Linked DNA regions of Oreochromis niloticus. The protein of the gene in region 3 interacts with the protein of the main gene of each other region in a pairwise test. Links are inferred from orthologs where the notes say so. Each region holds a gene or a part of one and is shown on either strand. Other genes may lie near its edges. The genes, in order: ndrg4, ptpn9a, reep6 and spg21.

What was found.
Region 1: the proteins of reep6 (region 3) and ndrg4 interact in binary tests that used the Homo sapiens proteins (3 or more experiments, as listed by UniProt). The two-hybrid records come from large-scale screens. The link is inferred for Oreochromis niloticus from reciprocal best matches to the Homo sapiens genes REEP6 and NDRG4.
Region 2: the proteins of reep6 (region 3) and ptpn9a interact in binary tests that used the Homo sapiens proteins (3 or more experiments, as listed by UniProt). The two-hybrid records come from large-scale screens. The link is inferred for Oreochromis niloticus from reciprocal best matches to the Homo sapiens genes REEP6 and PTPN9.
Region 4: the proteins of reep6 (region 3) and spg21 interact in binary tests that used the Homo sapiens proteins (3 or more experiments, as listed by UniProt). The two-hybrid records come from large-scale screens. The link is inferred for Oreochromis niloticus from reciprocal best matches to the Homo sapiens genes REEP6 and SPG21.

The regions. Positions count from the first base shown.
Region 1 is NC_031972.2:4,221,880-4,229,669, reverse strand, and holds the start of ndrg4 (protein NDRG4), read right to left. Parts: upstream 3,013-7,790; 5' UTR 2,858-3,012; intron 1-2,857. UniProt on the Homo sapiens protein: Contributes to the maintenance of intracerebral BDNF levels within the normal range, which is necessary for the preservation of spatial learning and the resistance to neuronal cell death caused by ischemic stress.
Region 2 is NC_031972.2:44,378,078-44,385,331, forward strand, and holds the start of ptpn9a (tyrosine-protein phosphatase non-receptor type 9), read right to left. Parts: upstream 3,019-7,254; 5' UTR 2,430-3,018; coding exon 2,397-2,429; intron 1-2,396. UniProt on the Homo sapiens protein: Protein-tyrosine phosphatase that could participate in the transfer of hydrophobic ligands or in functions of the Golgi apparatus.
Region 3 is NC_031980.2:37,191,652-37,199,221, reverse strand, and holds the start of reep6 (receptor expression-enhancing protein 6), read right to left. Parts: upstream 3,021-7,570; 5' UTR 2,927-3,020; coding exon 2,794-2,926; intron 249-2,793; exon of another isoform or gene 1-248. UniProt on the Homo sapiens protein: Required for correct function and survival of retinal photoreceptors. Required for retinal development.
Region 4 is NC_031965.2:4,634,437-4,641,861, reverse strand, and holds the start of spg21 (maspardin), read left to right. Parts: upstream 1-4,414; 5' UTR 4,415-4,616; intron 4,617-4,756; coding exon 4,757-4,819; intron 4,820-7,425. UniProt on the Homo sapiens protein: May play a role as a negative regulatory factor in CD4-dependent T-cell activation.

The DNA.
Region 1 (7,790 bases), on a different chromosome or scaffold from region 3:
TCAGTGCCAGTCTCATTGTCTAGCTATTGAAAATGCCACTGGGGGGAGGGAGATGGGGGGAGCGGTGGCCTGTGGAGCGGTGCAAAGAACCCAAAGAGCAAGAAGAGTTGTTTCCAAACAGAAGGAACCAGAAAGCGAGCAATGAAAGCCTCACATACCCGACATCTCTTCTAAGGGACAGTTTTGTTACCCCCATCTGAAATTTAGGTTAATCTTACTGTTTTGTCTAAGGAAATGTCTTAACAGAATAAAAGTGTGTAGTCGAGTGGTATATTGAGAGCTGATGTGACTGCTACGCACCTCACAGTCAGTTTAAGTTCTGCTCAGAGGTTAAAATTGGGGAATTAGCCATTTAGCCTTCCTTACTAAGTAGTTAAACGTTCTAGAAGCATAATTTCAGCAGTATGTGATTTCATGCGTTTGTCTTGTATTTTAGAGAAGAGATCACCACGTAACCACACTGTCAAATCTCACAACATGTAGCCTCTGACTTCAGCACTCTATCTGTTATCTATTAATTCAAAGTAATAAAGTAATCCCCATCCAAAAGTCAAACTTTTCTCTTTGCTTTGTTTCAAGCAATTTACTTGTGACCAAAGTATTGTGATTTGAACTAGTCGGTGCTTTATGAAGATCAACTTGTGGCTAAAAGGTCTTTAAGGTGTGAAACCCCTTGAAGTTTATGCTGACAATAGCAAAAATATCACCAGTGCTATCCCTCAGCCTCCCAGTAGACGCACGTTTGACATAAATTTGAAAATTCTACGTGAGATCTTTTCCTATTTAGGGTCTTCATAAGATTGTTAGAAAACTTCACCTCCTACCTTGATCTTCAGTTCAAGGTGAACAAATAGAAAAGGTTAAAAGATTCATGTGACTGCAATGTCCATTTGTTATGTGACTTTAAAATCTATCATCTTCTAGTTTATAAAGCATTTTTCCATTTAGCATGTAATTAAATAACAACATCAACAACACTAAGTCTAACCCTGGATGGTCTGGTCAGTGTTAAGTCCTTAATGAATTATATCTGCGCCTTATGCATGTGCAATTGTATGTTTGATATGCAGATGCAGATATATGCAGATAGCTTCCTAAGCAGTGGCTTCTTGCTAGCTTTTAAAGCTCCTCTGACTTACGGCTTGGTACTGGGACTTTCCTACTACTTCATATGCTTTGTTTATCTGAGAGGTTGTCTTAAATTTTTCATCTGGCTGTGAAATTTCCCCAATACCTTTGATTTTCGTGAAGTCAACAAGATGTAAAGAGCTGGAACCTGTGGCTAGAACCAGCAGGTGAAACATGGAAGCAGGATCGCTCGTATCTTATTGCCATTTTGGACACATAGTAACCCTTATTGTGCTTATAGGGATAGTAACCTTTTTACTTTGAGTTGTAGTGCAATACACAGTGAGTTGGATGTAGGGAGCAGTAAAATTACGAAAAATTATGAGCTGTTAATCGGGGTATAGTAGCAGTAGGTGACATGATTTAAAAGAAAAACCCAAAACTGCATCTCTTCCATTGGAAATTCAGCAAGATTTTAACTCATGTTGTTCATACTTGTAGAAAATTCTGGAATAATGTAATTAATCTATATCCCCAAAAAACCCCTCTGGCCAAATATGGACTAACTGGTGTGAGCTAGCATTGCTGTGTAGCTCGTGATGAACAAGAGCAGGAGCGTATTGCTCTTTGTAAATCTATTTATAAACTGCGAGCTGAGAAACAGACCCGCTCCCGAAGGGGAGACCAGCTCGGCTTCAGCGGCTGTTTCATGTTCTCAAGAAACAGCAGGAAAAATACGAGTCAATAAGTTTCATAGTAGCTTGAAATCTGAACATAGCAAAAGATGCATTGCAAGAAAATGATAAGTGGAGAGCAGTTGCTGATCCTACAGAGAAATTATGTAAGAGGTCCAAATAAAAATGGGACATCAACACTGTTGCTTTTTTAAGGATATGAAAAATGCACTTTAATCTGTTCATCTGTTCATTCTACTGCTGGTGTGACGCAACAAACCTCACTGTCCTGATCAAATCTGCATATACGTTAATGTTGTCTTATATGGTTCTTTAGTTTTTAAATGCGATCACCCAGCCTCTTTATTTTGACCACGATGCCCCGATGCCTTATGATTCTAATCTGTCAGGTCCTGCCAAGACCACTGAGCCAAATGCAGGCACTTTCAGGGCACCACTAACACAAGCCTGCACCAGATTCAATCAACTTTTATGACTTCCACCTACTGTCGATTCATCATCCAGCTGACTCAGTCTCCTTCAAATCCAGCATTGTTTTCTTTAGCACGCATCGCTCCCTCCCCTGCCATTGCCAAAGTCAGACACATCAGAATCAGATGATCATTAAAAGCATCAAGACTTTTTTTTTAAACTACAACTTTATAATCCCACTTCCCAACACAGGAAAATACAATATAAATGCAAAGGCTTTGGGTTTAATACATAATAATAATCCTGTCTGGTTTTCTAAATGTCGCACTTTGGTTCCTGTGGGGTCAATAAATTCAACCTCTTGACATCCTGTTCTCGCCAATGCAGAGGCTGGCAACAGGGGTGTGTATGTGTGTGTGTGAGAGAGAGAGAGAAAAAGTATAAAGCACAAAGCTTCAGCAGCAGCATTCACATACACCGTGCCAAAATTCCCGTCCTCATTTTAACATCCTCCTCCTCTAGTCCTCAAACACAAAGCAGCCTCACTGCATCCGAGCTCAAATCTGAGGGTAGAGTCAAAACACGAAGCTTCTCAAAGAGTTCACCTGCAAATGACTGTTTGCCACTCGGGTAGAAACTGTTGAATAAATATTACAATCCAGGCAGACAAAGCTTTACGGTACCTGTAGTGTTGTTCAGAGCTTCTGTGGCCGCAAAGTCTGGTGTCGCCGTGTTTTCTGTGTCCGTCCCTCAGGCTGCTACAGACTGGCTGAGTGTACGTCTCAGAGTGTTTGTGCGTGAATGTGTGTGTGTGTGTGTCTTCCTGTGGTCGCACTAGAAATGAGAGAGAAAGAGCTCTCTCACCCTCCCTCCCTCTATCTCCCTCCCCCTCCTGATGATAAACACAGAGCACGTGGCTTCACCAATGATGCAGCACGCTGACAATCACAGCACCGAGAAGCGAGGAGAGAAGTGAAGGATGAGAAAGACGCTGGTAAAAATATAACAAAGTGAGTCTGGTTAAAAGGAAGGCGTGGGAACGTCCGTCTTGTTCGTCATACGAAAAATCCAGAAATCTCTCTTTTTCCTCACCAGTTTCAACAACCAGTCATCTGATCTGCTTCAGACTCTCCAGGTGTGTTGCAGGACACATGAGTAGGTGCACTGCAGAGTCAGAGGTCATATGGATGACTACAGTGCCTGCGCTACTGTGTCTGTGTGCAGGGGGAGGGGCATATAACAACACACAAGCGTGTTTGAATGACATTCATTGACATTAAGTTTAAATAAGTGCCAAACATTATTCTGATTGTAAATCTAAGCCTCATAAAGATAAAGCCGTACATATCTTTACTCAACACGATCTGTTTCCTGCCTTTAATGTTCTGTGATAAATGATTTAATTTACTCGTGTTTTTTCGATTAGTGGTTCTCGAGAGAACTACTAAGAGTCTGTAAATGTGTCATTGTTTAGTTTTTCTTTGCCTACATGTGACACATGTGTAAATTGTACCTATAAAACCAGCCAGGCTCTGCACCGGTGCCGTTCTGCAGCCCAGAGCTCGCAAGCTTTGAATTTACTCGGGATTTTGAAACCAGGCAACAAAAATACATTCATCCAAATCTGGAAGAACATATCCTTTTCTGAATGTCCAATTCTGACACGGCTCTCAGACGTCTTCACGCCCACAGACACACACAAACGCACACACACTCAACCCAACAGCCCACAGGCAAACAGAAGAGCTATTTTGTCTGGGTAAAGCAAGCGTCAAAGGAGCTTACCATGTTTGGGCAACTGGGGCATGAAGTGATAGGGGCACTGATAGCTGCATCATCCATGTGTCTCTGGTAGAGTACTGACTTCAGCTTTGCTATGAATACAGTAAGGCTTGTTTATAAGAAAAGATTGTGTTTAGGCCTGCAATTTAAACTTGTCCACCTTCCATCTCTAACCCCGTGTTCCAGAGTTGGGAGTGTGTTGGGAGTGTGTTGTTTACAGGATTGGAGAGCATATGGGACGGTCACATAATCCCCTTTTTTGGGCACCTTACATCGCTGCCGGCCCAAGAATAAACAGAGCCTGATATTGTTTAAACATTCGAAGATTTGGGTAGCTCCGACCTGTTTCCTGACATCTGAATCACGACTCACATTTGTGATGTTACCAGAAATTGATGTGCCTAACCATTAGAGACAATCACAGATGAAGCAAACACCAGTGTGAGTGATGAGGCATTGAAAAGAAACTCATCATAGCTCTCTAATTACTTTTTGTTAAAACTAGTAACATTAAGCATTAGTTTCCAGCTTCATTTTTTCTGTTTCTTTACTTTTAGAAACCATTTGCTGTTCCTTTTGGTTCCATGTTTTTGGCATTGTCATCTCTGTGTTTTGGAATCCAAGCGTAGCCTGAGGTACCCGACCGTAATAGGCTAAATCTAAAGTACGTTTCATTCAATAAGATGGCAAACGCAGGGTCACGGAGCAGGTAAGAGCCAACGAGGAATTTCCCTTTACACCCAGACACCATCTGTTGGCCATTAGCAAGAAAGTAGATTTAAGGCACAGTGCTCGTACGTCTGTCGTGTGCATTAAGAGCCCTAATGAGATTATGAAGAAGCACCTGCACGAGGATCACAGCACCCACAACACTTGAAGCAAACTAAGGAGGAGAATGATGCCAGCATTCCAGCAATGGCTAAACTTTTAGTTTGGCAGAAGCTGTCCCTCTGTGGGAGAATTAACATCCCTGCTGCTGTTTACGTGATAAAGGAAAGGCTGCAAATATCAACTTGATATGACTAAATCATTTCACTTAAAGGTAGAGTAAGTTACTCTTCTCATAAGGTGAAGCTGTAATGTAACACATAGTTTATCAGTAGTAATCTGTTAAAGTTACAGTGCGTAAAATCTCACCGCTAGATGTCAGTGCATTACAGATCGCAGTCAAGTGAATCCTGTTATCTTACCTCCACATTCAAGCACATAATCGTAGCTACGGTGGCCGCTGTAGGACAAACATGTTTTGGTCAAGAGAGATCAAATACATCACATTTACCTCGTGCAGCTGTTCGAAGTCGGGACGGTTGTATGTCTAATTTGCTGACAATAAGTAATTGTGACAGTATCAGGAATAATTAATAAATAATGTTTGTGATAAAGCCCTGACTTCAGTTCAGAAGATGAGGTGGGAGGAAGAGGATCACGTGGTATTCAGGTATTCAGGTGCTGGTGTCGGCGTCTCTTTCCTCGCGTTTTCACCTTTTTGCTGACGTTTTATGTCAGATGATAAAATATGGGTATGGTCCTGCATAACTTGAATCTGAAGGTGCAGAGACGAAATAAAATATGCCTCCACGGCACGAACATGCCTACGAGTTCTCTTCTCCTCCGGCTTCAGTGTTCTGCGTTTGTGGCCGGTGTCTGGCCACATGCATAAGACTGTATTCGACCACTGTATTCAACAAACCAGCCTTATCCTGTGTAGTTTTTAATTAATACAATTATGCATTTATTATATTTGTTAATTTTTAGTATTTATGAGAATGCATCAGTTTGTTGAAAGACATAATGAGACACATAATGACAGTACCAAAAACTTAACATTAAACACTGCCTGTAATCATACTCCATGTACACATATATTATTACTTGCTACCAAAACCGTGTGGCTGTTTAACATGATATCATTCTCAATAGAAAATATTAGATAACAACAGAAAATACATATCACATTTTAGTTGAAACAATTGACATTTATGATCTAATCACAAGCATCTGTGTCTACAGGCAGCTCCCAAAACCTCGCTGTCAGAGCGCTTTCATCAAATGTTTGCTGTTGCTAGGCTGTAGGACTGTGGTCGTCATTGTTGGATTGTAAATAACTGGTTAGAAAATAAAATAGGAAGCAACTAAAGGATGAGGATCATCTGATCTGTCAGGGCAGGATGAGAATCTTCTTAGTATCACAGACAGTATAACCTATGTAGCAAACCCTGAGCTGACCTGTTACACAGCAGGTCCAAACCGATGGCGAGCTCGCCAACGCACTCTCTGCTATGTAACTCATCTTGATTGAGCAGCATTTAAGAATCCCTCTGAATCCAATCTAAATTTAATGTATTCAGTTTAAAGGGATGCATGACTCAGACCGTCATTATGTAAAGCTATGCTGTGTCATTCTATAAAGCACTAAATGTGATACAGATAGAGCTTTTAAAAACATATGTGAGTCCAATTTACGTCATCACATGCAAATTTAGAGCATTTAGCAGATTTGGCATCCATATCATGCTTGTGATGAGATTCTCCTTTCTTTCAGACCTCAGATAGAAGCCACTTTTCTGTTTTGTTGCAGTAGAGAGCATTTACAGCAATGCCACTAATAAGCTGAGGCGTTTTAATTGCAATGATTTTATTTGCCACAAAAGTCAGCTCAGTTTTATTTTAATAGCCCAGAATCACAAATCAGAGATGCCACAAGAGATGGAACAATTCAGCATCATATAAGTGGTTATTATTGAGCAAAGTTGTAAGGTAAATACAGCCTTTCTGCAGTATTTGATACATTGCACAATTCATCAACAATACACTTCAACAAATTACCCCCACCAAGTTACCTTCATTCGTTTTAGTGCCACCTGAGGACGAATTAAGATTTCACACAGATGAGTCATATTTGAGGAGGAGGAGGGAGCGAGGAGGGGGGTGAGGGTGAGGGTGTGGAGTGCTGGTGGGCAACTCAGGCCTGTTTTTCAAAAAATATCTATTTGGCAGGACAGTATAAAGAAGGTTTTGTAAATGGGAGTAATTACTGTATTAATATTCGGTCTGCCCTCTCATACAGAGTTCACAGTAATAACAAAATGCAGAACAGTTTGTTATGTGATCACTTTATCTGACTTTAGACTGTATTACAGATCGCTTTGATTCTGGGTAGTGGGACATATTTTGTTATTAGATAGTTGATGTTTCTGCAAATGTGTTTAGACATTAGACTCTGTGGCAGTAATCACGATTATCATCAGATGACTTTAAGTTTTAAATGTACTTTAAGCACAAACTTTGTTCCTTTATTAACACAAGTCTTTAGTAATTATAATTTCTTTGGTTGTTTTTCTGGCACCAGCTGTACAGTGAAAACACTTTGGGTTATAGACGACAGGTGTACCCCGTACCCAGTTCACATGACATCATTGTTTTTGAGTAAACCACTAAAAAAAATCACCCAGCATAAAGTTGTTATTAAGGGAGAAACTCTTCATATAGGCCAGTTTTGTACCAGCTGTGAACATGATTTCATTGTGGTTCACAAGTTTTTGAGGATTTCCGCTCTGGTTTCATCTTTCAGCTTTGGAGGTTGTCACTTGTGGTGTATAAATACACTAACGTAGGCTTATTAACCAGTAACTGTCCTTTTTTCCCCCAGTCACCAGGTCTGAGACGAGAACAGTGCTATTTTCAGTGCAGCACTTGAAGTATTCACATTAAGAAATTGTTTATTATAGAAACCATAGCTTATCAGCAGCTGACAAATAAGTGTATTTGCAGTGTTACTTACTGCTGAAGAACAAAGAAACATTTTAGTCAGTGATGTAATGGAGAATGGCGATA
Region 2 (7,254 bases), on a different chromosome or scaffold from region 3:
GTCGCTGCAGATAGCCTCCCTTCTCTGAGCCTGGTTCTGCTGGAGCTTTCTTCCTTCCCACTGTCACCAAAGTGCTTGCTCATAGGGAGTCATGACTGTTGTAAGGTCTACCTTACAATATAAAGCACCCTGAGGTGACTGCTGTGATTTCGTGCTGTATAAATAAAACTGGGAAAACCCCACTTCTGATCCTGTTCAAGCCATGTTTAGAGCTAAATGAATCCTGTCAAATGCTGCTATACATATCAATAAATATGTTCTTTAGAGCGTCTACTGACATTTTTAAGTATGCACACAAAGCTTCCATTAAATGCATGTAAAATTATCCATCCATCCATTCTCTTTCACTTATACTTATTAGGGTTGTGGGGAGGCTGGAGTCTATCCCAGCTGCCATAGGGCGAATGGTGGGCTACACCCTGGACGAGTTGCCAGACTGTCACATGACTAAAAGACAGACAACCATACAGACCTATGAGCAGTTTAGAATCACCACTTAACATAACCCCACTGACTGCATGTGTTTACACTGTGGGAGGAAGCCAGAGTACCTGGAGAGAACCCACCTAGACACTGAGTCAGAAAAAAAATCATTATCAAAGAATATGGGCAAAACAGAAGCAACACTCCCTTTATAATTTTGTTGACCTTGACTACAAGTCCACTCTTGCCCGTTTGTTTTCCTCTCTGTCTTCATTGTGCTCGCTTCTGTTCTCTTCAACTTTGTGCTGTTACCCAAAAGTTAAATTATAACAGTGAAGCAGAACTTACAAACCAATAAAAGGCATAAACTGATCCTCATTTATAACAATATTCAGACTAACTACAGGCTGCTACTGGACGTAAACTTCCTTTCGACTTGCTCTCACCTGGATCTGGAGCTGTACTGTAGACAAACAATGAAGCGCAGAACCGGAATAGAAATCTTTAACAAACTAAAAAGTGCACAAATAAAGTACATCAGCTCTTTTGCTGGTATATCACTAGCTGCCAGCAGACTAGTGGCTCGAAAAGCTAAAATTAGTGAATAATCTCTGGTGATTTAGGCTACATTAGCTAAAGTTTTTGACACCATTTAGTTTTTCAATCTGCATCACTGATTTGTGTCATGAAATTACCTCTGCATATTCTTAGTCAAGTCTTATCTAGAGTATTAATGACAAACCACACTGCTGAAGCAGCAACGCCTCTGTGAGAGACTGAATCATCATGGCACCAACAACACTGGGCAGTTTTCTTTAGGGATGCCTGAGCACCCCTAAAAAGGGTCTGAACTCGCCTATGTAAGATACCGATACCAGCATCGGCATCGATATTTCGATCTGCCCACCTCTACCATCCATGCATAATTCTACTACTACACTTTGTTTTATAGCTAGGTCTGTAAAGGATTTCCATCCTCATATGATTAAATACTTGAAATCGCAGGAATATTCAACTCAAAAATCACAAGTCAAAAAAGAGCAAACAAGTAAATCTTCACACTTGAGGACCTGTTCAGATATTACCTCAATAAACAAACAAAAACAAAGGCTGGCTGCTTATTTGTCCATCATCTAAGGGATTTATCAAGCAAATCCTTCTGCTCCAATAATCAAGAGTCTCATCATTCCTAGAATAAACGCTCCGTTCTTCGGGCTCCGAGTTCTTGACGCCTAGAATGAGCCAATAGGCCAATTCCTGTTCTTGGAATAGTTTTCTCAGAATTCTCTCACTTCTCAATACTTCCAAGCCTCGAAGTAGAAAAACAGGCCAATAATATCGAAAACGATATGATGACTTAAAGCTGGTGTTTAAGAGTGTGGAGACAGAGTTTGCACGCCTATTTTTACTTAAAGCAAACAACAAAGTACTCAAATATTTGAGAGAAACGCACTTCCTCCATCCTTAACTTAGAAAGTGCGGCGATATGTGCGTTAAAATGTGCTCGGATGGCACGGCATGAGCATGCAGGACTCTTTACGCTGAGCCAAGTTTCTACTGTGTACATTTTGTCAAAGACCGGCCAGCGTTTCCGACTCTCGCGGCCAAGCAGTTTCCCGTCAATATCACCGTGTTTAACTACGACACACGAAACAAACATGCCCCCCCTTCCCTTCCATTTTCTGGGGGGGCGATAAAGACAAGCTCGGCCTGTGCTGCAGCCCATCAGCTCAGCCGCTGACAGTGATGCAACGAGAGCAGTAATGCGCCAGAAATCGATACAATATTTCCGCTCTGCATTCAGGACCGTTTCGGAGCACAGCCACCATTTGCGCACTCTCAGTACACAGGGCAAAAAAAAAAAAAAAGCCTCCAGGTAGAGTCTCGAGACTGAAAGATTTTTATTTATTTATTTTTAGCCAACATAACCCAGAAACGAAGAAGTGGAAAAGACACGGACTCTCGGGGCCTACCTGCTCTTCCTCCGCTGATAAAGTAGCTGCCATGATTCCCGTCAAATCTTTGACCACTTCTTTTTTTTTGTTTCCTTCCCGACACTGCTCCGTTTCATACAGCAGAGGATGGCGGTGATGTCGGTGTGTCTGTCCCTCGTGTGAAAAAAACGGGGTTTGGAGGAGGAGGTGGAGGAGAGGGGTTGTCCCTCTCGCTCACAAACTTGAAGGCATCTAAAAACGCCACAGTTTTTAGCCGAGTGTGTTCGCTCCTGATACCGCCTGCGATCGCGAAGCACGCGGGCCAATTAGCATAAATCTACCAGTCTACAAACTCGAGCGAGCCGCTGATGTGTCAGATTTCACCGAGAAGGAAATTGGAAATGGAAAAGGGAAGGAGGAAAAAAAGCACGGCGCTCGGAACAGCTTAGACGAGGACTCGCTTCATTCAGCTCGGGTTCAGACCGTGTTGTGCAGCTCCTCCACCTAACTTAGCATACGTCGGACTGCGGCTGCCCGCTGCCTCCTCCATGCCATGTATCGCAAGTTTTGGGGCTGTGAACCTCGCCTTTATGCTGTGAGACGGTGACACGCGCACGACCCTGAGCACCGCGAGAGACCGCAGGCTTTTCTCTCTGCGTATCGCTGCGCCCCCCCCTGGTGGATAAGTCGAGAACATGACGAAAGCACACTGACCTCCGCCTTCATTCATAAAAATAGAAAACTAACAAGGGAAAAACGCCACTCTTAACATGGTTAAACCTAAATGGATGCTTTATTTGAAAAAGAACACGTGAAGAGTGCGTTCAGTGATATGTATTATTATATTATGTTTCCTGTAAGTACAAAATTTGACCTCAGTTAATCTCAATTTAGCTAATTAAGTGAGTAGTTTTGACTAGGGAGGCTATATTTCAAGTGAAATCTATAGTTTTTCAGCATTTATCCTAAAGCAACTGGAACTTTCTATTTTTATAATACTACTACTAATTCTAACAAGTTTGAATGAACATTTAATGTTTTCTAGAGTTGAGCGGATGAATCCGAATATTTATAGTATCAATAGCAATGCTGGCGTTACTTTTTCTATCCTCTAAGTTCGGTATGCAGCCCACTGGTAAATTATTCTTTTGGAAATGGAAAAAAATAAACCTCAAACATGCACTATGGTACATTTAAACCACATAAGTTGACCCAAAGTGCATTAGAGACCTGTCTCTGTCACAGTTATGAACATACACGAACAGCTTGAATGTGTGTTTTGTTGTATTAACTAAATATCGTGGAAAGTAATCACAACCCGTAAATAAGCTGCCTTTATAGGTTAAATGTGTCTGTATCGGTTTTGGTATCAGCGAGTCTGGCCCTGTATTTACTTACTTTCTAATATTTCTAAGGTAATGTAAGCAAAGAAGCAAAAGGTGTAAACTCTAGCAGCTAGGCACTAGCTGACTGAAAATATATCTTTGCATGCTAGTTATATTTTCAGGTGAGGATGTTGGACTATTTTTAAATATGTTAACTAAAAATAGAATCTTAGTAACACACCTTGTTGAGTGTGAGGAGTTAACTAAAACTGATGGCTATTTTATGTAAGGGCTAGTGCAATTAAAGTGTTAGCTTAGCATATTTTAGCGTACAGTCTAGAGGCACTGCTCACTGCTCATGCAAGGGTGCACATTTTCTTTTTGTTGTTGTTGTTGTTGTTTTTTTTAAGTAGTATTGAGCAATAGTTATCCAGACTGCCAAGTTTTTCTTTGGACATTGGCTGGTTTCTCATTCATTTTCAGTCCAGTCATGCTGTTTATACATGTAACAGACAACTTAGCAAAGAACCAATTTTAATTTCTTTCTCAAGCCACTTTTTTACGAGCACCCTGTTGCAAAACCATACCAGTTGTTTACATTTCCTTAGTCAAATCTATGAAAAATGCCAACGATAACACATTTTGACAGGCATTAAAATGATTTTCTGCATAAATAAAGTTATTCCCAAAAGCCAAATACTTGGCATATCATTGCACGGTGTGCAGTGTCTCCTAAAAAAATACTAAGAAAATTGGACAAACAGAGGACATAAGAAGAAATAGTTCACCCCCCCCCCAAAAAAACTAAACAAAACCCCAAACAAACAAAAAAACCTATCCACAGCAGCAAAGACCTGAGACAGGATCTGAAAGATGCATTTGGCTCTGTAGTTGATCCATCCACTGTTCATCGAAACCTTGTCAGAAATGGTCTCAGTGGAGCGGTGGCTGCCAAGAAGCCATTCTTAAGGAGAGAAAATGTGAAGAAAACTCTGAGGTAAATACTGAAAATCAGTGGCAACATGTCTTATGAAGAGATGATTCCAGATTTGAAAATTTTGGTAAAAATGGTCATCAATAAGCACAGAACAGGTCATGTAGAGGTACAACAGTGACTTTCTATAGACATTTGTGAAACACGGTGGAGGGGCTGTCTTAGTTTGGGGCTGCATTTTAGCCAGTGGTGTTGGACATCTTGTCAAAATTGATGGAATTATAAACTCAGAATAGTACTGTCAGATTGCACTACCATCTGGAAACCATATGATTGGCATCAGCTTCATTTTTCAACATGGAAACGATCCCAAACACACTATAAAAACATATCTGGATATTAAAAAACAAAGAATGGAACGCCATCAGCCATGGATTGGCCTACCCAGAGCCTCGACCACAACATTATTGAAGCAGTGTGTGATCATCTTAACAGAAAGCAGAACAACAGACAGCCAATATCCAAAGAAGAGCTTTGAATGTCCTTCAAGGAGCCTGGAGAACTATTCCTGAAGATACTTAAAGAAATGACAAGAAAGCTGCCTCAGAGAGTTTAAGCTGTGTTGAGGATAAAGGTGGCCATACCAAATATTGACCCTCATTAAGCTTGTTAGAATTGTACTTACTTTATATACCTTATAAATTCCTCATATTCCATGCATGTTTGCACATAATTCCATAAACTGCTCCACCTATTTCCCATTTTTCTTGCAAAATATAAAGAATTAAGGGGTGGCTCAAGACTTTTGCACAGTGCTGCAGCTAGTTTGTTTGTTGGACTCCAAGCTGTATTCCTGATTCAAGAACTTTAAATCCTATTAATGAAGGGTTAACATTCCTTTTATTCTTTCTGCCATTGAGCTGGCACTGCGACCTCAAACAGCCTTTTCTCGGTTAAAAACACAATTAATCCAATGAGCAACACCAGAATCACCATTAGCCAGTAAGCACCATAGGTAGGACTAACTGCAGTGTCATGGTGTTTGTTGAGTTTGTCAAGCTGTGCATTGCAACTTTCTTAAAGGTACATGCAATCTGAAGCAGAATGTTATTGTAATTTTCAGCCACTGTAATCTGCATTCATAGTGTGCAGCTTTGTGCACATTTTTCATCAGCTTTGAGTCTACATCACAGCTGCACTCCCCAAACCAGCAATTCACATTATTAATGCATTACATAAAGTGGGAAGACACAAATAATAATATGAGCAGGCCCATCCATAATAGTTGGTTGCACTTATAGCAGTTTAATTAGTCAAACTTTCAACTCTTGCTTCCTTCTTGCTACATTATAATCTAGTAGAGTTTACAGGAAATGCATGACATCATAAGAATGAGAAAATACCCAACAGCACGATAAAGTCACTGTAACATGAGCCACAGACACAATACAGGTCTCCCTTGGAATATTATGGGCTGCTCATATAGTTCAGCAGGGAGGTTATTTCGAGCGCAGCCAGGAGATTGCATATACCACAAAGCTATTGAAGGCCATCATTTCACGCCTTTGGGTGTTTTAATGAGACTGCAAAGGTAAAATGATGCAAAACAAAGTGAGAGGCCGTGCTTATCTCAACATAGGTCGATAGAGAAGGAAGGGAAGATGGCAGAGTGTTTGTCAACGTGCTTCTGTAGGCCATCAAATATAGGAACACTGGAAGGCACGATTATTCCCCCCACAATAAGCAAACTTTAAATATTGAAGCGTGAGAAAGTCTTGCTTGAAAACCAAAGGGAAAAGGGAGTGGACAACAATAGACTTCCTGTGAAACCAGCTGACATCATCCTTTGGGAAAATGTGATTGGTAAACCTTTAGCCCTTCCCCCTAATAGTGTCAATCTGACTAAAAAAACTAAAAAAAAGGACGCAGTAAACCTGTGAGAAATAAAGATTTCAAGAGTTGATAAACACATCAATAAAAGCTAGAGAGGAAGGTGAGGTTCTCTACAGTTGTTGCCAAAAAAAAAATCAGTTCGCTACAAGATTGAAGTTGTTTTACATAATGCGGGTTAATGACACGAGCCACTTCAGGCTTTATACATCAAGTCTAAAATGGGTGCTAAATGCATTTCGCAAACACACAAACACACTTAGCCAAACTCTGTGAACCCAGTGCTGCATGAAGCTGTATGATCTTAGTGCAGTACGTAAGAACTGAGGAGATTTAATGACCTGAACAGCAGTTTACACTCTTTTATTAACGTGGCACACAGATGAAGTTTGCTCTCACTGATATTACTCTCAGACGTGCACAGAGAAAGAGAGATGTGCAGAAGAAACACAAATCTGCTTCACTCCTTAAACGTCTTGTAACAAGGTTTTTGTAAAGATCAGAGCATCTGTGTCTGTGTGTGTGTGGAGGGGGGGAGACTGACAGCACTATGAAAAATGTATCTGTGAATTGGCAGGTGCTCGGTTCCTGGAAAGTACTGCTGAGTCATATCGGAATTCTTGCAGTAACCGCACATCTCGCTTTGCTCTGTTTGACATGTCTCTCAGTACAGAGGTGAAAGAGGAAGTATCCGACTGTACTCGATGAACTGCATTTGTCAATTTGCTCTGGATTACACAAGGCGTAT
Region 3 (7,570 bases):
ACGCTGACATCATGTCCTGCTTAATGTGCTACAAATCCACTGCACCAGCATCAACGTGCTCTCAATACACTGCTGTTCCCTGCTCACTGGATCACTGTGTTCACACAGACCTGAGAGCCCTTTTTAAGACTACCAACAAAATACACTGTTTGATCTGTATTTATTTTTAGAAAACAACAAAACTTTCTTGTAAAAATGTCGACAATATTTATAAAACAATATAATGTGCAAGAGCTTCAGGAATTCAGCAGGAAAGGCAGAAGTAGAGTAAAGTGATGGTTCTCTTCCCATTTTCTGTTAACACTGAACACACTGCTGTGATGTTTGAATAACCTTTACTGAACTCACCGTAGACAAATCAAGTATGGAGGTTTTGCCTTTAAGATTTTATGGCAGAAACGTTTTTTATTTCGACCTGAACAATGAACTCCTGAACCCACAGAGGTTTTCTTTGTCAGAGCTGGATGGAAAAGCCATTTTTATGGTAAATGGACGAAAGCACTTTTCTACTCTATTTGCGCACTCAAAGCGCTTTACACAACTTATACATTCACCCATTCACACAAGCACTTTTTTTCATAGCTGGTTCTAAGTGCTTACTATCTGACATTTACACACATTCATACTCCAATCCATGCATCGGAGAGCAACATGGGGTTAATATCTTGCCCAAGGATATTTGGCATGCAGACTGGGATTGAACCACCTTCCAGTTACCTGCTCTACCACCTGAGCTACACTCACCCCCATTTTCAGTTAGCTAATTTGGATGATTTGCCTTTTAGAAATGAAGATGAAGTAACATGGTGTAAACTAATTAAAATTCTTGAAATCAGAAACCCAACAAGACCTTTGTTGGGGTGGCTGTGGCTCAGGCGGTAGAGCAGATCAGCTACTGATTGGAAGGTTGGTGGATGGCTTCCCCAGTCTGCATGCCAAATATCCTTGGGCAATCCATGCGTTCATTGGAGTGTGAATGTTTATTATTTGCACTTAAACCCCAAATAATTAAATATCAAGAGCAGCCTGAGAGTCTGTGTAACTCTTCCAAGGCTGAAAATTTCAACCTTCCACCAAAGGAATTGAGTCCCGGGATCAAGAAGGATATTTGATCTGAATTCATTTGTGATGCTTTCTTGAGAACATTTTCTGTTAGGTCCACACAGGACTAAAAATAATTAATAGGCCTCCCTCTAAATGGCTAACGTGTTGTGACCATGTTAGGGACCACATGGTCTAGGAAACAACTGACACTAAAGATATAAAATAAAGTCAAAAGAAAGAATCCTGTTAACAACCTTAGCTTCTGTTACCCTCTTGATATCCAAAAGATTACCAAAAATGTTTTTTATTTTTTATTTTTTGTATAGCTTTGTTTTTAAATTGGTGAAAACATTTTAAAATCTGTGACATTTCAAATGAAGTCTTGTGTATTTTGCTGTAACAGAATTTCTTTTAAAATATTCTCCATTTGTTGTTGCAAACATGTGAAACTTTGATTTAAAGGGGACTGGATGAGTTGCCAGTGTGGGTAGGATAATTCTTTTGATTGTTTCTAAGCAGTTATAATTCTCTTATTTCACCTGTCATTGTTTAAGGTTGCCCTTTATGCTTATGAAATTATGCGTCATTATAAACAATGACTGGTGTCCTATCAGAGTTTGTTTTGGGTTTTTTTGTCTGAACTTAGCCAAAATGTGACAGAGAAATTAATTAAAGGTGGAAAAAATACAGCTTTAGTTCCACACAAGATACTAGCCCCAGTTTCAGTTTTTCCAATTTCATTGTACTATTGTACCATATATGACTGTGCAATAACAATAAAGAGTTATCTTTAAGAGACAGAGAGTTATTCAAGGTTACAGCTGCAGAAAGCTTTTGGGACTACCGCAGGTTTCTTTGAACCACATTAGTGTTTGTGGATATTTACCCATTCAGAGTGAAGGATTCCTGGTATGAAGCCTACACAGATGTGCTTGTGTGTCCTTCACAAAACCAACAGTGTATACATCGCCAATTAAGCCATTTTTTTAGGTATAAAGCTGACTATTTGAAAACTGGATCAGAACAGGAAAGAAGTGATAGCGGGTTACAACAGTGAGGAAGAAATGTGATAAAGATTATGCTTAACCTTTAAAAAGCATGAGAAGTTCAGACAGTGGCTATAGGACAGCTTCTTTGTTTTTGACACTCGGTTTCACTTCATTTTATGACTGGTCTTCTGTGCGGCAGGCAAAAAGTTACACATAAGCTGAGCGTAGGACCAGCATCAAACTGGGGTAAAACCAGTCCTTTAAAGCTGCTAACATAGTTGATCCAAGAACTAAAACATAAGAAGATATAAAGAGACTTCTGCCCATCGCTGCTTAGTCAGAGAAAGTACTAAACATTAGTCTTTCAGCTCAGGGTGATACATGTCCTATCAAAGAACTGGACACAATGAAGCAGGCACTGCCACAAAACCAGGAGCTTAATGATCCTAAAACCCCGAAGGGCCGCAGAGCCAGTTTATCTGAGTTCAATATGACAAAATATTTATTAGTGCAGAGGATTAACTGCAGAATAAATGAAGCAGAAAACCTCCTGAACATTACCAGCTTCCTGTTGTGGACGGCAGCTGATCACAGGAGGATTAACTGAATCCTCTTCAGGTTTCCACTGGCCTGCAACAAGCTTTATACAAATCAACTACATCTAGAACGAGAGCAGAATGATCCAGAAGTAGCCATGTGCTACTACACAAAGCAGGCAAGTTGGGAAAAAAATAATTCTAGAAGATTAAATCACACGTACCAAGAGCAATGACCTTCTTCTTGATCCCAGTTTTCTCCTCCATTTTTCCCAGAATATCTGTCACCACATTTTTCTCATTTAGAAACTTTTCAGCTCGGTCTTTGATAGAGGTGATAATATTCAGCAGGCCCATTTTCCTCAATCTGGTCCTCAGACCACAGAGAAGTCGGAGGACAACAGCCTGCAGTGAGTCCGGTGCCGAGTTTAATCCTCTAACAACCACAATCTGCTATAATGAGGAGGAGGAGGAGGAGCACGCAAGGAGGTATTGAGAAGTTCTTTTTATAAATATTTTCATTTATTAAAGACAGAGTAAAAAGTGAAGAAGCTATATACATGATATATATCAGCTAGGCTTTACACAGCTTTATAGCTCAGCCACTGATCAGTCAATTATTATCAATGACTGTGCAACACTTTTGTGCAGGTTAGAGCAATTTAAAATACTTTAGAGAGGAGTGACAAAAGTCTATTGTAAAAAGAATAAAGTCCAAAGCACACAGGTTACAACAGCTATTTAAGTGTAATAAAAAGTGTAATAAACATGATAGGTTTTCTGTATATATGATCCATGACAAAGGTTTGAAGGGAATTTAATACTCTTACCTGATGTTTTTCAAGAAAACTCACATTTCCTGATAAAAAGGTGGCATTATTCCTTTATGCAAGTCAGTTTTCCATATATCAAAGATAAAAACAAATTAAATAGTTACCTGATTTAACATGGACTCTTCTCCCTTTGAGGGTCATTTTGTTCTTGCATATTTGGAGTACCTTCATTTCTATTCCTTTAAAAAATGCAGTTCTAAAAAAGTTTGAAAGTGACTGTCATGTGAAAATGGCCAGCTTTATATCAATAATAATAATAATAATAAAGAAGAATGAAATGAAGAAAAAGGATGCCTCACCGGTTGGAGGCATCACTTCCTGAAAAATGAGTGAGACTACTGGATAAAATTCTTCACTTTCTCTCTTTTTGGGGGATTTTTTTTTTTTTTTGTCAAGTCATCTATATTTGATAACAGCATAATAAAAGGGGAAATTCTATTTTTTGTGTGTCACCCCAATGTTTTTAGTGGTCCCCATATAGCCACTCTTTTAAAAAAAATTCTGGCGGCGCCCCTGTCGGGTACAAATTTTAGTGTCCATAAAGATGCGCAGGAACGACGGAAGTTTAAGCTTCCTTCAGAATGGCCCAGGACAAAGAGTACATACATGCTACAAGTTGTGTTTTGTGTTAAAACCCTCACTGTATTGTTTTTATTATTGTTTAATTATTATTTTTTTCTTTTCTATTATTTCACAGTTGTGTGTTCTGTCAGACTTTGTATGTTCAATTTAAAATAAATAATTAATTTTAAAAAATAAATAATACAGTGGCCGTGAGTTAGGTCGCTAAAAATATTACGACCCCTCAACTGCATCCTCGCATGATGACATCATTCTGCGACAAGCTTATGAGCGAACTGAGTGAGTGTTCCTCAAAGACGCGAAGCAAACGTAAATTCTCTTTTTTAGGACTGATTCGCATCTGAAACTCGGAGACGACAGGTAGGAGAAACGCTTAGCTGTACTGTCAGCCTCGCTTTGGCAGCGTGGAAGGTCAATTTATAAAGTAGCGCCTATGTACTCAAAGGAATATGATCACCTAGCCACCCGTTAGCATCGTGCCGCTGTGGTTTGGCGAACACGTCACGCCAAGCTCCTTTCAAATCTCTTGCAGTACATCGTGGTCTTTCTTCTAGAATCTAGAGCGAACCTCAAGTGTAATAGAGGGAAACTTAAAGACATATAGTTAACTGTCGAAATCATCTGTCAAATCCGGCCTATGTTGCATACAGAAAGTAACACGGGTTGACTAAATACAAGCATTTTAGCATCAGCTTCGTCCTTTTGTTGACACATTCTTTCCATTTCGAGTCATGCTCAGTCGGAAGATAAATCAGCTGCTTGTTAACTTCAAAGAGATACATTCGTGTCCGATGAGTTAGCTGTAGTCTTAAGTTGTCAGGGTTTCACCAATACAGCATAACCGCCTAATTCAGTACTGATTATAGTAATAGCGTTAGACTGCGAGATTTGCCAAAGCAGTTCCAGGAAACCCATTTTTAAACGTAACGTATATCCTGAAGAGCCAAATAAATTCTAGATGTGTGCTGATTTTTTAGTTGTCCTAACTGGTATGCTAGCACGCTAAGCTAGAAATTAGCCAGAGATCTTGAGTCAGTGTGTGTGAGGTGACTCCTCAAAAACTTCACTGATTTGAGCAGTTTAAAACACGACAGACAGATCTCCTTTATCAGCTCGCATCAGCTGCTCTTCTGTTTGTGTAATGGTTTTATGTTCAAAGGTGGTTAACGTTAGCTCTGCTCACACAGTGCTCGAGTTGCTAGAACATTCTCCATGCTAATACCAAAGGGGGGGTGGCTAAACATACATCGTCGTGATGGTGTGGTGGAAAGAAGGTACATCCATGTCTCTGAGCATTAATCACTGTTGATACTAGTTGTTAATGCATTATTAATAGCATCATCTGACAGAATAACCACACAAAACTTTACACCCCCCCCCCAAACAGCAATATAGCAGAGGCTGAAACAAAGAAGTTTGTGCAATGACAATAAAGGCATTCCTTCGTGCTGCAGAGATCAAATTCAAAATAAGCAGGTATGTTCAAAAAACATCAAAGTTGGTACTCAATCCTGGTTGATACCAAGGAAAGTAATAAATATAACAAAATGTATGCATGCATGCATATAAATACATGCTGCATGTCTACATATAGAGTGATGTGATTAAAAAAAAATCAGACACATCTGAGAGCTGATGAGGTTAATTACTGACATAATGAGGTGTAAAAAGGGCATTACTGATGCTGAGTATTTCAGAATTAAAGATGGGGTCTGCAGTTTGTGAGACAGAAAGAGTTAGAGAGCTAGCAGAAATTTCATGAGGGGAAAAGGCTGAAACAAAAACTTTTCCTGTGACCCTTAGGCCTGCAGGCAGCACAGTTTTGAAAACAGACTGTTTTTCATAGTGTAAATGCACGGCCTCGGCAACATTTCTGGTTTGGTCAGTACCGCGTAAGGTGTTTAACATAAATTCCTATAGTGAACTAAAGTTAGCCACACTTGTAAGGTTGAAAACTCTGGCTTTAGGCTCAGAATACATTACTGATATGCCGTGTTTACCCTCTGATCTCCTCCTAGTGTCGTTAAAACAAGAGGTTATGTAGTACGAATTCAGACTTTACTGAAATATGTTGCTCACATCAAATTCAAAGTTGGCACATATTCTTTTAATGAACAAATGCACTGCACTATTTTCATATAATACTTAAGCGGCATTTAAGTGATTTGGATTTCATTGCATGCATTATGTACATTTACAGGGTTCCGGTTCTTATTGGAAATAAGGTTTTAGTTGCAGGGTGTCTCTCCCTCAGTGAAGACAGAGACGCAGCACCTCTGCCACCATGACAGACAACAAACGCCTCGCTTTCTCCATCATCCAGTTCCTCCATGATCAGCTCCAGTCAGGCACTCTGTCTTCAGATGCTCAGGAGAGTCTCGAAGGTGAGTCCTCAGACATGAAGAAGAACAACATGAAGCTGCTCAGTTTGTTTCTCTCCTGACTCAGAATGCACACTTAAACTTTCTCATGGGGAATAAGTTTGTGTTGTAGTGTCTTATAACCATGGACCAGGGAGATCATAATGTATGGAATTATTATTATTGTTATTGTATTTGTTTTTATTACAAAAGCTCAAAATTCCAGTGACTCCATTTGACTTTGATCATGGTCAAAATCATCACTGACTATTATGCCAGCAGATTTTCTGACGGAGTCAGCTACAGCACTAAAATAAGTTCAGTTTAATATTTCTTTCCACAACATATATAAGTATACAGCGTACATAGTCTGGCTTCATATGTCCGAGTCTGGGTTGCAGGAGCAGCAGAGGAAACAGAAGTACAAATATTTCAAGATTAAGTAGAGTAACTAATTTTTAAGTATCTGTACTTTACTTGAGTATTGTTTTTTTATGACAACTTTTTACTTTGACTCTCTACATTTTTACACAAATCTGTATTTTTTACTGCTTAAATTTTCAAAATGGGTTTGTTACTTTGGGTTTAAGACATTAGTCTGTGTCTTCAAACATCAGACTGATTTGAGCCAAGTAGCCCAGTTGGGACCAGTAGCACATAAAAGACAGTACTATTGGTGTATCCATCACCAGGTTGTATCACGTACAAAGAAATGAAAGAGGCATTGTTTATAGAGCTAAGTGGACCAGAACAATCCAGTGGTGTTCTTGGTGCAGATATCCCTAAGTTGTACAGAAGAGGAGCGAGCATACAGGGAATAACATGTTAAGTAGCAGGTATTTTCAAGTGCAGCGTTTCTGTAATTGCTCAACAATCATCAGCAAACACACAAACTGTTCTTGTGCAGTTTGTCATGGAGTGTGTTTGCTAACTAAAGGTCCAGCTGCTGTATTTCCCAGGGAGAGAAAAGAATGAGAGATAACTTGAGTCAGAGATGGAGAAAGATGTAGGAGAAACAGGACAGGAGAGGACGAAGAGGGGTTATATTTAAAGGTAAGGACTGTCCAGTGACAAACTGATAATTAATTGACAAGCTGGATATAAAGGCTACATGTAATGTCCTGATTTTTTAATCACATACATACTATATATTGTGTGAAGCTATGTGTAACATTCCTGCAAAATAGACATGATGCACGAATGCATCATGTCTATGAATGCAGGTT
Region 4 (7,425 bases), on a different chromosome or scaffold from region 3:
AAGAAACGGCTTCATTTTCGGAGTTTGAAAACTGAGAGGAGGACAGATTTCCACCCCTCAAACAAACGTAATTCATTGCTCAACGGTAAGATAACTGTAAAAACTGCTTCCACTGTGAGTGTCAGCAGTGTCTGAAGATATATTGGCACAAGCCTCATGTCCTAACTTTGCTTTGTTTAAGAGATATGGCGATTTGAAAATGCCTCCCGTTACAGAATTTCAGCTCTGAATTTCAAAACCTCCCCATAGACTTTGAATGGGGAGTATTGAAACCTTGTGTCACTTCGAGGCAAATTGTGAAAAAACGGTAAATCTCACAATAAAGATAGTGACATTGTCTGAAAGTCAGCAAAAATACCTACGTTTTGATGTATAATTTGCGGGGGTTGAATGAAAATTGAGTGAGCAGCAAGAAGTTGTTCGGACATGAAGAGAAGTTTCAGAAAGGACCAGTGCTCACTGTGAGTTAATTGCATAGCAACCATAACAACGCATGTATTTTCTGAAAAATCACAAAGCTGCAACTGAAAACTTAAAGAGGCATTAAATTAAAACGGTAGAAGATCTGAAAAAGCTGAATCAGACAGGAATAGCCCAATAATTTGAGAACATTTTAAAGTTTGAATGGAGTTTCTAGGTGAAAGTATGAGGAAGTAGTTAAGTTTCAAAAACAAGCAAGTTTTAGCAGAGTTGTGGAAGTTTTCCATTCATTTCAATGGGACAAATTAAAGGAAAAAAGTGTAATATTTTAAAAAGTATAATAGTAATAAACACCAAAAGATATAGCTGGAATTAGCAGAAATAGCAGAACAGTTTAGAGTTTGAACGGAGAAAATCGGCTGAAAACTGAGGGAGTAGTTAAGTGCCGAAAAACGCGCAGCAACTTGAAAAAGAATAAAGTTTAAAGAGAAACAGGAACTCAATAGTGTGGATGCCTTTGAGGGCATCCACACAATAAAGAGAAACAGGAACTCAATAGTGTGGAAGCCCTTTGAGGGCATCCACACAATAAATCCGACGAATAGTAATAAGTGTGCCTCTTGGCATAGGCATACTTAATAAATCCGACGAATAGTAATAAGTGTGCCTCTTGGCATAGGCACACTTAAATATACCCATCTAGAGATTAAATGCATAAGTACATGGAGGCAGGACCTCACAGCAGAAGCGTACTGCATAATGTGCATTATTATATGTATGTTATATGTAACGTGGTATATCATAACTGCTTTAAGTCATACAGAATAGATAGCAGAGCCTTAAGCACGATGATTTCTGCTAAATGGGTCAAACTGGGCAGAAATGATACTAACACATAACATCCTTATAAAATATGGATACTCATTTTCAGGTGCATACTGGTGCTGATACTTACATACTTTAAGTTTCTGAATATAAAAACTTTTTACTGCCTGTCATAGTTTTTAACTTGAAAGCCCTGAGTACTTTCTCCCACACTGAAAACGCTTGAATGATAAAATTATTTTAGATATCACCTAATAAGACTGATTCAGGACAGATAATTAGTTATTTTAAACCTTTCAGTCCTTCACACAAAGGGAACAATCTGTCTATTCTCTCCATCTCTCAGCTGGTGCTGGCTCTTCCTCACACACTGCTGAGTTTGTCCTGGTGGATCATCAGGGGTGCAAAGCCTCACAGATGATTTGCAGCAATGGGTTCCTCAGTCCTGACTCTGGACACTTGCAGGTTTCAGATATGTAAATCAAATGTGTGATAAGCTGCAGGATTCAAACACACTTTTATTTAACAATCAGAGAGAAAGAAAAAAAGAGAGAAGGTGAAAGTGCAGGACAGACAGAAAAGTGACAGGCTCAGGTGGTATACAGTACTACAAAACAGCACAAGAGAAGGAGTATTTTCTCTTTGTGTTATTAGGAGTACTAAATAAGATGAGATGAGTTCCCAGTTGTGGCCACATGTTTGACTCCTATGAAGAAAGCACCTTTCTTTTCGCCTAACGAGCGAACTGTCAGCTCATTAAGACAAATGCTAAAGTCTGTTTGGCTCGACACCACCAAACAGAGGCCGGAAAATAATCAAACTTACATTAAGAGTGCAATAAATCCTGCTTGTGCCGTGATATTCAGGGCTGAAAACCAGGCCTGTCTATATGTCAGCTTGTTCTGTGTAATACGGTTTAGCCTGACTTTAAATATCCATAAAATCTTCACAATCTCTGCAAGATTAAAGTCAACTTTTGAAAGGCTTTAAAATCAAGTAGAACCTAAACCGCGTTAAGTAGGCTACTAACATCACTAATGTCAGATAACTTTGCCGACACGTGGCCAATAGTAATGTTTTAATGTTCTTCTTAAAACATTTGTTTTGCCGCATAAATAAGTGACATAAAACTGAGTACTTACTATTAAAAGCTTACTCTTCTGCCGTGCTATGAATCCTGGGATAGCGTGGACAACGAAGGATACACCCGACCCATCTTCAAATCCGGGGAAAAGGAGGACACATTTGTTTTTGTTGGTTTTTTTGTAATGCATTTATTGAAAAACAAAAACATGGCACAGTACAGTATACTGTATCATTCATAATCAACGTCACAAACAGACAAGTGCAGATGAAATAAAGGAGCACAAAAAAGGGCAAACAGTAAAAATAAGTAAATTGCCAAACAAAATTAGATGAAATGTGCAAAGGGTTAACATTTAGTTTTTCGATATTCTTCATTTGCTCCATTTCTGGAGCAGCATTTATGTCACCTCGCTGTGACATAATCAGCTTTCAAATCGGTCTTCTCCGAAAGATTTCGCCCCTGAATTGGGAGACTACACTACACTTCACATTTGAAAAACATCGTCATAGATTCACTCTTGCTGTTTTGCTTCCACCGCAATAATATCACACTTCCTGCACAGCTCTCTCTCTCTCTCTCTCTCCCTCATTGTGCTCCAAGAACAGTTTACCATCAAAAATCTGTTTTCTGCATTATTTGTTTGCTTATTGGTCTACTGTGGTCTAAGGCGGTTACCTGCTATAAAAAAGCCAGGCCAAGAAAATCTCCTTCATGTTTTTCTGTGTTTTATCCTCATCACAGCAGATGCCTTTGACACAAAGGCATCTACTGTGATGAAGTCTGACAAGTGTCACCTTTGTTTTTATACATAGATATAAGAAATGATCTGAATTATATTAATATTTCTGACTGTCTGAGTCAACATGGAATCGAATCAGGGATTGAATCACATCAGGACCATGTCGTTCGGATTCGAATCAGTTATAGAAATTGAAATTGATAGCCAGCCCTAGTTACGAGTGTTTGTGTGTGTGCGCATCTGCAGAGGTCATCCTCATCACAGCCTGTTTTCACTCATGCAGCCAGGAAAAAGGTGCAGGAGCACACTTTGCCAAAGCACAACAACAGAAAAGGGCTCAAACAAGCTGTTTTATTTCCACTATTATTTTAATGTTTTCCCTTCTATTCATTCAGCACCAATTAGCTAGATTCTTAATCTAGGAGCTAGATCAAGAGCTAGGAAGTTTAATCTTTTGTTATTGTTATAGTGGTGGTTTGCACTGCACGTGTTTATGTGATGGTCTCACACAGAAAAAAATCCCTGCTCTAATACGTGTAATATACTAAAGCTGATCTTTTTGTATCTGCTCATTTTCGTCATCATTCTCCACATGTCTGACTAACATGCTCACAGCAGTGTTGTCTTCTTCTACTTTTCTGAATTTCTCTAGTATTTGTATGTCTCGTGCTCTTTTAATTCTTTCCTACGGTTAGTATCCCCTTGTGGTTCCCTCTTTTACTCAGTCGTCCATATAATTACGGTTTTGATTTTGATTGAACTTCCATCTTGGAGTTTTCAGTCTCCCATTCCTGATCTAGTTATCTTTATTCCAGTCTTAATTAGCTATGAACCAGCAGAGATCTCTGCATACTGCAGAGTTTAAATTTCCAATACAGGTTTAATCCAAAGTAAAGGAAAAGTTAAACAGATATGGGGTTAGGCCGTTGAATATTGAAAGGACCTATTGTGCATTGCCTTATTTCATGTTGAGGGGTTGGGGCGCTCATATCAAACATGGGAATAATCCGTCAGCATAAGTAATGCCTGTGACTCAAAAGCATGAGACTGCTTTGAACACTCACTTCCTTCTTTCTGCTCCTCTCAGGCGTCTTTTGTTTGTAATCAAGTCAGCTTAAAGGAGTAATGGGAAGCTAATGACTTGTTTTTGACAGAAGTTAAACTGGAAGAACCAAGATTTTATTGAACAGTGAATGATTTAATTTCAGTGCAGCCGATAATACAAACCTGGAGCAGTTACACCATATTTGCTTTTATTAGATAAATTAGATTATTAGCTTAAACGGAAACAGCAGGGGGCGCTGCGCTGGAAGCTTTCGATCCATTCTTCATTAAACCAATAGACGAAGAAGAAGCGGTGCGGGGGTGAACGCGGCAGCCAGGATCTTTTAAGGAAGTGTGTGAAAGCGGAGTCACATGAGCAGGCGCCCGCCCAGGAGACGGTACCCCGACATGGACCTGGAGTCTCGGATACGGTGACTGACATCCACGGGTAGCACGGGAACAGCAGCGTCACGGCGTCTCGGGCCGCGGTGAACATCTGTGGTAAGTCGTCTAGTCGGTGGTCTCGTGCAGTTAGCCGCGGAGCTAACAGCGGGTAGCCGCGGCGGGCGGTGTTTGCTCCCCGAACCTCCCCCGGCCGAAGCACGCCGCCATCCTGTGACTGCTACTTTGTGTGTCCACAGATGGACGAGATTAAAGTGTCTCCGGACTACAACTGGTTCAGAAGCACGGTGCCACTGAAAAGAGTGAGTACACAGAGCTGCTCGGCCCACTGCGTCATTAAGGAAGTACACACTTGTTATGTCCTCTCTGTGCCTGCGAGGAAAACCAAACTCGCATGCAGTTAGAAGCCACGTTACTGTTTAGTACAGGTGCATGGCGGAGACTGGCTGGAACCGAAACTATGATCTGAGCTCACCGGGGCCTTCTGCTCCACTGAACCACAAAAATGAAAAAACAAAAGCAATTTTTATTTAACTTTCGTGCTGGATTGAGCAGCATGAAAACAAAAATGTCAGTAGGCAGTCTAATCTGAGTTTGCACATGTAGTTCGACTAATTAGAAAATGATTGTTAAATAATTTTTTTTGGAAACACACTTTGCGAGCATACCCTGGAGGAGTCGGGGAAAGTTTAAAGTACAGGAAGTGGCATTAGAAATAAACTTTGAGGTTTTTTAACGTCTGTCCTAAATTACAGATCCTGATTTTGATGTAAGACAGTTTAGACTTTTTTCTTTAATAGTTTTTGAAATGCTCATGTTCAAATCTGGCCTCAGACTTTAAAGTGTGGAAAAGTGGGTGGATAGGCCTTTAAAAGTAAATGTATGTGGAAAAGTATGTGATATATGAAGGTATAATTTCAGAGTCATCATCATCCATGTCCGAGTTTTCAGAGATGACTGAGCAGGAAACTCTCTAAAAACATTGTTTGAAGTGGAATGACTGAAAGGAGAGTTGTTTATGTTGTTATACGCGTGTTTCTGACATGGCAGTGTATTTCATTTTGAAATGTCACAGTGATTGTGACAGAGCAGTGTACATGAATACATGGAGGGTTACACGTGAACGTACAAGCATTCTTGTGGTCAGATCACCAGACGTGTGACCTTTGGCACTGAGCATGACAACATCTCATATGATCCACAGGATCAGTTTTTGGTGCAGCTGCATTTGAGTTGCACCACAAACTAGTTTTACTACATTAGTACTTTAGTACTACATTAGTATGTACCACGTTTCCCCCCCCTCCATGTGTTAGAGCTGCTCTTCATCACTACATCTTCTCTTTAGTTCCAATGACACTCCTCCAGGGAGAGTCATAGCAGCTTAGTGCTGCTCACACTAACACACTGCTGTTGCTGGTGCTGTCTGAACATGGGCTCACTCTGTCGCTGTGCCAGGAAATAGTTAGGTTCCAAGTGGTTAGTCTGTGAGCTACTGAATGCCTGGCTGTCCTCAGGTCTGGTGTGCATGAGGCTTTCTGCCACTGCAAACTTCCTGCGTTGTTGTCATGTGAGCACTGAAGCCTTCTGTCCTTAACACATGTTGGTCAGTCAGCCATCTGTCACATGGTCACATTTATACTGATGTTGTGTGCAGTAATCACAGGGCCGCTGTTTTCAGGATCACGTGTTCGGACAGCTAAACTAGGGCGGCGTGGACGATAAAAAATCTTTTGTTTCCAAGCTTCATTTAATCTACAGCTGTGCAGTGCCCATATTTGTGCAGTAGAGAACACGTGTGAGAATAAAGTGTTCAATTTCAATTCAATTCAGTTTTATTTATACAGCGCCAAATCACAACAACAGTCGCCTCAAGGCGCTTTATATTGTAAAGTAGACTGTACAATAATACATACAGAGAACATCCTAACAATCATATGACCCCCCCCCATATGCAAGCACGGTGGTGACAGTGGGAAGGAAAAACTCCCTCTTAGCAGGAAGAAACCTCGGGTAGAACCGGGGGGGGGGGTGGCCATCTGCTGCATGTAGTTGGGGTGAGAAAAGAAAGACAGGATAAAAGATATTAGATAAAGATTTAGCTACTAGCCAAATCCAGTGGAGTGGTTTGGTTTAAACTAGAATAAAACCAACAATGGTCTTAAAAAATTATATATTTTAAAATAAAATAATTAAACATACTAACCAAAAATGGGTTTTAATCTAGTTTAAACCAAAGCACTCCACTGGATTTAGCTACACTTTGGACAGTGTTTCCGGAATGCAGTAGCTAGCGAGCTGATTGGAGACAAAAACAGCCATTTAGGATTTTTGCATCAGTTTTTTTTGTTTTGTTTTGTGTTTTTTTTTTTTTTTTTTTTTGTTTTTTTGGCACATTTATAACGGTGAACAGAAAAACTTGAGCGTGCAGGGAGCACAGATGTTGAGAGTGGGAGTGACATACACTGGGAGCAGGTCTGCAGATACCTGTCAGCACACAGAGAAGAGATCTGAGGAAGAGCAAATGCCAACAACTGAGCGAGAGGGGTTGTTATTATATGTGTGTGTACATGGATAATAGCAAACACTGAAATACATTTCTTGCAAGCAGCAATGAATTTTCTTCACTCAAAATAATTTTCTCCTCAAAATGCAACATTTGTATTTGCAAAAATTATGTACGCGCACTCAGAATAGAGGCACAAAAATAACGCCATATACTGATGCATCCATCAGTGTGAATGCTGGATAGAAAGCACATGCATAGAAAAATGCTTGGGTAGAGTAGAAGCAGTCTGTTTACAGTTTACCGCAGCATGGTTATATATGTAACATGAGCCAGGCCTGCAGCACTTTTACCACTCATCATTCTGTATTTAGTGAACACTGTAATCAAACTCCAACACGG